Linked DNA regions of Oryza sativa Japonica Group. The main gene of each other region encodes a partner of the protein of the gene in region 2 in a complex. Links are inferred from orthologs where the notes say so. Each region holds a gene or a part of one and is shown on either strand. Other genes may lie near its edges.

Region 1 (4,139 bases), on a different chromosome or scaffold from region 2:
GTTCAACTCAACATGCATGCCACATTCATTTTGAACTGTTAAGCAAACTAATCCTGTAGGTCAATAGGCACAAATGAAGATTTCCTCAGGGAAAAAAACTAAGAAAAATGCATTACCATTGTGCATTTCACATTCAAATGCAAGGAGTTTATGTTACACATTTGCAATGCAAGAAATAGTCTGGCTCATTGCATTATCAATGGACCATAATGAATTCCAATGGTAATAACTTTAATAATTTCATAAACATGATCTACCAAGAAATAATTTAAATAGTATCATCAGAAGTTTACCTGCTGCAGAAGCATTGTTGGGAGGTCCTCCAAGTCACAATTGTAGCTATTTACCAAATATCCATCGGAGGGCTTCCCAGTCAATGATCCAGCAATGCTTGGGGAGCCTTCACCCATTAGACTAATTTGGCTATCTTTCACGATCACCTTAGTATTGAACTGTGACCTGGATTTGTACTTAAGTTCATGGTTATCAGAAGGCTTTGCAATCCGATCTGCAGCAAGGATAGGCTGAGGAACTTTCAAGCATAGAGACCAGGAGGAAGTTCGAGAATGCCAAGTAGGAAGAGAACGCAAATGGAGATATGGAACCCTGCTGACCTGCAATACAGAAAGGAAATTTAAATAATGATCTACATGCAAATATGTAGCATCAACAAGCTTATAGGAGCTATACCACACTCTCAAGCTCCACGAGTACTTTGTTAGAAAATATCCTGTGAGCCACTGTCAAGCAGAAATGACCTAGCAGGCCATAATCATCACCTGCAACCTGAGCAGGACTTTGGTAGCGACCAATGTTAAGGGATTTCTCCCTGACCTTCCTAAGAATGTTCTCATGAAACAATTGTAGCAAGTAAATTTCCAGACTTCTGGGATTAGGAAACCCTGTCACGTCTTTTCTTAAAGGGTCCAGCTTCCCATTCATAGTGACCAACACAAGATTTGAGGCATCCTCTGAATTGGCATGGTCTTCATGGTCTACCATTTCTGAGTCACTACCATCTCCAGAATGAGCAAGCGAGAGGCACAATGAACATTCCTGACCAATAGCTAATTGGAGAAAATCTTCACGCATTCCAGTCACATTGATGCCTTGAGATTGGACAAATGTCTCACGGATCACCATATCAAATACCTACAAAGGCATACACTAAGCTAAGCCACAGAACGATATACATAAATAAATAATGATAAACCCGGGGAGGGAGGGGTGGTGGTGGTGCAAGATGTCATCACATGATATACAATAATTTTCCATGATGCTATAGTTAAAACTTAATTAAGAGCATTCTATACAGGAATTCTTAGCATGCCAAGCAAACACTTAGCTGACCTGCTCCTCAAATATTGACTTGTGGATGTTGCGAAGAATAGAATGTGCATGTTTGATGGATTTATTGACATCATCATTGTCTGTTTCAGAGGAAGTGATGCTTGAGATGCCATCTTTCAGTTTATGACCGTAGTTTTCCACACCATTGGCACTGTCCCCTCGAAAATTAAGACTCAAGAAACGGCAAGATTTTTGAGGGACTTGTACGGACAAAGTGCCTGATGAGTCTTGGTCAATTGGAATCAATGGTAATGATGACAGTCGAGGCATTGCTGCTGTGTCCAATTGAGAAGTGTCGATCAGATCAAACATGAAGCCCTCACTTCCTGGACCACTTCCACCAAACCGTTGCCGCTTCACTTTCCAGTTCTGCTGCAATCTGCCACCAATCCGCGAGTAATTCATGGTGCAAACTTGGGTGAAGTGGTATTGAAATAACAACTCAAGTTAAGCAACAAGACATGCCTGATTAATGAGCCATAGAACCTAGACTCTTTTTGGAACTGCTGCTCCATTGTTTTGGCAGATTGTTTGAAGTAGCGTGACAAATGCTGCGAGGACACAAATGAAGATCACAACAGGAAGCATGATAGATGCAAGACGGAAGAGGAAAGTGGCAAGCGATTACAGAAACAAATTGAGTTTGTTTTAGGTTCCATTTTGTTCCTTAGCCGTGAATTGAAGTAATCAAACATAGGCAGTAGGGTGACATACCCGAACGCGCTGAAGCTTGGTGGCTGCAGAGACTGCGGTGTCAACTAAGGTTTCGGTTGGCAGCGATTTGGGCTTGAGCATCCCAGCGACTGCCACTGCATCATTGGCTTCGACCTGCATTATCAAGTAGGATTGTCTCCTCTGTCAGGAATACAAACAATCGCATGCAAATAGAATGGGGTTTGCAGTATTGTGTGTGGGAAAACTGACAGTGGAGATGAGGTCAATGACGACGGAGAGCTCCTGCTGCGCCTGCTGCAGGCTCTCCATCATGCCCTGCCACGGCCATGCCTGCTGCTGCTGCTGCTGGGCGGTGTCCTTCTTGGGCTTCTTGGCGTCCTTGTCGATGACCCAGGAGAAGTCGATGCGGCGGATGGCGGAGAGGCGCTGCTCCTCGCTGCTGGTGTCGCTGCGGAATCCGAATCTCAGTGAACGGAGAGAGGTGGGGGTTAGGGTTTCAGGGGAAGGGAAGAGGTTGGTTTGGTTTGGTGCTTACGGCGGGTAGTGCTCGTTGCCGGCCTCGTCGATGGCGTGGAGGCGCTTGATGGGGAGCTTGTCGAGGTCCACCCGCACGGCTTCCTCCATGGCGAAGGCGAGGCAGCGGCGGCGGAGGGCTTAATTAGATCGGAGACAATTTTTTGAGTGAAGGAGGCACTGCCTTGGGGCTCACGAGTCCCGCTCAAGAGCGGAAGGGATCCCCCCGCGGGAAGCAGAAGCGGCGGCCGGCGGGGTGGGGGCGGCCGCCGGCGAGGTCGTCGGGCGGCGGAGTGAGGAGGAGCGAATTCTCGATCGAGTTTGGGTGCTGGACTTTGGAGTTTCTTCTCTGGAAGAGAGTATGATGGGCCTTTTTTGACTTTGGGCCGGCCTAACAAGTAAATGTTGCTGGGCTGGCCTGGACCAGTTCCAGACTTCCACTACTCCGAATGGGCCGGAGTTTCTTTTTTTATTTTCCATTTCTCAAGGCCCCTCGGGAGCAGGAATTATCTCCTAGCAATGGTAAAACGAAGGCTTATATCAGAGAGCTTTTTCTTATCAATGCCTACAAGACAACAAGGCCTGTTCTTCTGTTGTTCGTCCATGGATCACAAGTTTCAGGGAACAAAACTCTCTTTGGTGCCGGTGGCAATGATATTCCAAACTCAACCGCAAGTTGTGATCAATCTGCAACGTATCAGGGACGACGGATATTTCACAAAATAAGTAGTAGTATGTCGATTCTTCAGTCCAGCTTCTGAATTCCAGGCCTTTTGAAGTTGAGCAAGCAAGTAAATTCAGATAATCTCTCTGCAAACCAACTATACAGTGAGTGACTGAATTTCTACTTGCGCGGATCGATGTGCCAGAGCATTGCCAATCACAGAAACAAGTTGCAGATGAGATTGTCATACTAGCTTACAATCAATGCCACCATCCGCTCAAAACTCACAGCAATCAATCACAACCTGAAGAAACAATGAGGACAAACCACTGTCCACCGGATCGAGTTGGCAAAACCTGGACGACCAAGGGGGTTCGGAGAATAAAACTCCGACCCCTATTCATGAAAAAGAAAAGCACCGCAAACAATTCGTATCATAATTCTTGCAGGTAACACCGTAACACCATAAGTTTGAGAGAAATGCGCCAAATACAACAAATTTGGCGATTTGTTTGTTTTCTCTTTTTCAAAGGTAGCATATAGATTTGCCTTGATAATAGTATCAACAGATGCAGCGCTATAACCATATATACTCCATTTCTTCTCCATTCCCTTGCTTCATTGATTTATGACATACTCAGAAAGACTAAAATAAGCATCAATTTCACACTTCACAGGCCTGTTGTTCACAACTACTGAGCTGCTGTGTTATTGTATTGCTACTAATCAATACCAGCATCTCTTTAGAAAAATCATTAGCGATACACAGCTTACATTTTATTGGATATCACTGTCATTGTATCACATCCACTCCTCCCAGATCAACATATGCAATCATCATGCCTATGCCAGTTTTTTGCATGGTAAATTCTACTACTACCAGTGGCCCAGTGCCATGTGATGTCAACCCCAACAGCTTTGTATATTATTACCCCTT
Region 2 (3,987 bases):
CATCGAACACGCTAAATGGAGTGGTAGATTTACACATGATTAATTAAGTATTAGCTAAAAGTATACACATGGAAAATGATAGGGTATAAGTTGGAAAAGCTTGCTGTGTTCTTTGTTCAGAGTTCCCAACCCCTCTACCTCGTGTTCCGTGCGCACGCTTTTCAAACTTCTAAACGGTGTATTTTTTAAAAAAAGTTTCTATATAAAAGTTACTTAAAAAATAAATTAATCTATTTTTGAAAAAAAGCTAATACTTAATTAATCACGCGCTAATGGACTGCTCTGTTTTCTGTGCGTACTGTTCCGGTTGGGAATCAGAGATACCGAACACATCCTAAAAGAACACGACTTTGATATTCCTTAGGGGAATGCTAGGAATCGGTCGCTCAGGGGAGGGAGAAAAATCGGGCGCTCCCTCCTCCCACGACGCGCACTGCCCTGGGCCCCACCACGTCTCTACCCCCACCTGCCACTTATCTCTATCACATACTCCATTGCAACAAATCACCTATATATTTTGGAAACACTCTATTAAGGGAATACATTTCATTTTTTTCCACGAAGAATGTTTTACCTTTTATACCCACAATATTCCACTGTGTATAGATCTAATGTCGCAGTGAACTGAAACATTCTTTCACTATTTGCTGAAACATTATTTTTATATAAGGTGAAACAACGCCCGACTTAAACTATTGAAACATTTTCGATCTCTTAGTGAAAAAATTCCGATATACTTGGTAGAATATCGTGCAACATTTTAAAATAATTCAATAATAAGCTAAATTTTTTTTCATCGGAATATATCTATGTGTGTGATCTTGTTTTGAAGATTTAATTGCAACGAATTTAATGGTGAAATCATGATTTGGATAAATAATTTAAGAGAAAAATTAGTTTAAAGTAGTTTTGCACGCATGCGTCATACTGATGTCAGCGTCCGATTTTTCTCCAAACCCATCGGTCGCCCGACGCGTAGGCTCCTCTTATTCCTTGAATTAGAATAGGTATGGCTACACGCCTACACGCACACAAGATAGATGAGGTGGGTGAGGCGGAGCAGAGGATCCGGCGGGCTGGGACCACCTCGTGTTGGTGCCTGGTGGTGATGCAGTGGGCGAAGTGGTTACACCAACGCGCACCACCACCACCATCTCTCTCTCTCTCTCTCTCTCTTCCTCCTTCCCACCAAACAAACATCCCACGCTTCGTCCCTCCCACTCCACTCCCCACCCCCGCGACGCCTGCGGCGACGACGACGGCGACGGCGAGGAAGGCTGGCCACGGCACGCGGCGGCGAGTAGTCCAGCATGGCGGCGCCCTCGGCGGCGGCGGCGTGGGTGGACTGGGCCGCGGAGTACACCAAGGCGGCCCAGGCGGAGTCGCGCCCGCCCGCGGAGTGGGCCGCGCGGGTGGCCTCCGTCGTCGCCGCCGCCGGGGACGCGCCGTGGTCGCCCGGGCTCGCCGAGATGCTCGCCCGCGCGCTGCTGTATGGCGGTGGCGGCGCGGCGTGGAAGTACGCCGAGGCAGCGCTCGCCGCGGGCCTCGCGTCGCCGGCGCTGCTCCTCGCGATCCTCTCCACCAGGTACGGACGGCGCGGCGCCCCCGCTCCCATCCATTGCCCTCCCCCCACGCGCGCGCAGTGGCGTTTGTGCGCGCGCGCGGGGAGAGACGAATTTGCGTGCGTGGTATCTGACATGGGCTCCTGCTCACGTGGGGTGTACTGTCTGATGGAATCCGCGCAATCGCGATCGGATCAGGCTACTAGTTTCGATCTATGAGATTTCCCTCGCAACCAGATTACCACAAATGCAAGTTGTTCTACAGCGTGGCCTGTACATGATCATAAACAATCTGATGTTTTGGGCCCTGTAAATTTGAGAAGGAAAAGGGATGGTGGCGTGCTTACTGTGCGTAATACCCATAAATTTGAGAAGTATATGAATGGCAGTGTATGTAGAGTACTCGAGTGTGCAGTGTAATGCAGATCAATTTAATACATGTATAGCAGCAGAATACTCTGTTTCATTTTTTTCACTTTTTTTCTTCTCTCTAGAGTCTAGATCATGCTAGTTGGAATAACAAGTGCAGTTTGAAATGTGCTTTTCAGCAGTAATCGTATAACCAACTGGCGAAATCCGTGCACATTTTCAATATCTGCTATGCTGCTGTGGAATGTTCTATAAAATAGAATATAAGACTGATTGCAAATATTCCGTTGATGGTTTCTCTCCATTCAGGGTCATTCCTCACCGGTTCACAAGGCCAACTGCATATAGACTTTATCTGGAGCTCTTGCGGAGACATGGATTCAATTTTGCTTTTCAGATGAAAGCGGCGAATTTCAAAAAGTGAGGTTTCCTTCTATGAGGTGTTCCCAGTAGTTTCATAATGCACGCATTCTATGTTCAGAGGTTTCGAAATATACATCACAGGAACATGTACATCATTCTGAACGATTCAGTACTGTTCAAAAGAATTATATAAGACGGGAATTTTAATACGATATGCTGACAATTAGAGTTTTGGGTGTCTACCACAATACATCTAGACCACCTTATTGCATCTGCATACTGGACATATCAAGATCTGTTCCAAAGAGCAACAATTTGCAAAGGAAGAATTTCACCTGGTTGAAAGGGCCAGTTCTGCAGTGATACATAATATTTTCGGTTGAATTGGTTAAGGTGTCACTTTATATGTTTTCAACTCGCATATAGTTCTTTCATGTTAGTTTTTAAAGAGTTTGTTTCTTGTGACATGTCTGTTCTGTTAGCATCCTATGTTTATGCCTTGTGTAGGTATCTGTCATTCTGTCTGCAACTTATCATTCCTTTAGTTGTCTTCTAAATGCAAAGTTTCATGACACCTTCTCATATTTCCGCAGGATCATGCAATTAATAGATGATAACCTTGGTCTCTCAAAGATATTTGGCTTTTCAACATGCGAACCAGGGGTTTTTGTTGTTGAATTTACCCTTTGCATGTTATGGCAGTTGGTTGATGCTGCATTAGATGACGAAGGCCTGTTAGAGTTGATACCGGATAAGAAAGCTCATTGGCCAACTAGATCAGATGATGTGAGTGCATTTGATGGAACTTTCTCTGAACAAAGAATAGACAAAATTGACAAGTTACAGAAGATGAATAATGTGATAACTATAGAGCTCATTGGGCATCTTCTTCATGACAAAGTAATTACTCATATCCTCTCATTGGCACGCGAAAACATGTATGGCTTTTCAACTTCATGTACTGCTTTACTGAGTTATTCCAGCTCTTTCTTCCTATCACTAAAAACAGTGAATTTATCCCTTTGTTATTATATCAATTGATAGCAACTTAATTTTATTTTAGTGAGTTAATGTATGGCTTAAATATCTCTGTGTTCCATATGCACCATATAATTGAAAACATTCTCTCTATTGGCTTAAGGTTCTCAAGTCAAGCTTCTGTGTCTTCTGAGTATACAGGGTATTGCCAATATTTTTCTGGAATATATCAGATTCATTGTATTTATGGAATGGCTGTACACTTTTATAAAACAACTGTCGACCGCAATGCTAAAATGTGAACTAATAGTACTCTAGAAGGACTACTGGTTGTATGAACAAGCAAGCTTGATTGGTTGCAACTGTAATGTTCAAATGATTTTCTCTACTACTTTATAACCAAGAAGGATCACTGATAGAATCATAGAAACTCTGGCCATGGGGGACAAGCTCTGATATACTCATGCCAATATTGTCTGATATTGCTGTTTGTGTTCATAACTGTACTAGAATCGTACACAAATGAACTATTGGGATAACAGTACATTGGTAGAAGGCATTCGTTTAAACTTCCAAAGTGGGGATCAAGGGCATCCTTAAGACACCACAACTGAATTCACTTACTGTTTTTATTTTTTATTTTTTTGAAAAAGTATGCTACTTTAATTTGTTATTATTACCACCAGTACTAACGAGTCTTGATGATTCAGGCAAT

Evidence for each region. Proteins that work in one complex are often made in the same cells at the same time.
Region 1: mediator of RNA polymerase II transcription subunit 33A (region 2) and mediator of RNA polymerase II transcription subunit 17 share a complex: the UniProt entries of both Arabidopsis thaliana proteins name them as parts of the mediator complex. The link is inferred for Oryza sativa Japonica Group from reciprocal best matches to the Arabidopsis thaliana genes RFR1 and AT5G20170.

The regions. Positions count from the first base shown.
Region 1 is NC_089046.1:28,095,942-28,100,080, reverse strand, and holds the start of mediator of RNA polymerase II transcription subunit 17, read right to left. Parts: upstream 2,856-4,139; 5' UTR 2,650-2,855; coding exon 2,561-2,649; intron 2,474-2,560; coding exon 2,275-2,473; intron 2,179-2,274; coding exon 2,065-2,178; intron 1,902-2,064; coding exon 1,816-1,901; intron 1,730-1,815; coding exon 1,351-1,729; intron 1,153-1,350; coding exon 691-1,152; intron 615-690; coding exon 294-614; intron 1-293. UniProt on the Arabidopsis thaliana protein: Component of the Mediator complex, a coactivator involved in the regulated transcription of nearly all RNA polymerase II-dependent genes.
Region 2 is NC_089041.1:6,111,362-6,115,348, forward strand, and holds the start of mediator of RNA polymerase II transcription subunit 33A, read left to right. Parts: upstream 1-1,187; 5' UTR 1,188-1,310; coding exon 1,311-1,585; intron 1,586-2,240; coding exon 2,241-2,351; intron 2,352-2,887; coding exon 2,888-3,232; intron 3,233-3,982; coding exon 3,983-3,987. UniProt on the Arabidopsis thaliana protein: Component of the Mediator complex, a coactivator involved in the regulated transcription of nearly all RNA polymerase II-dependent genes.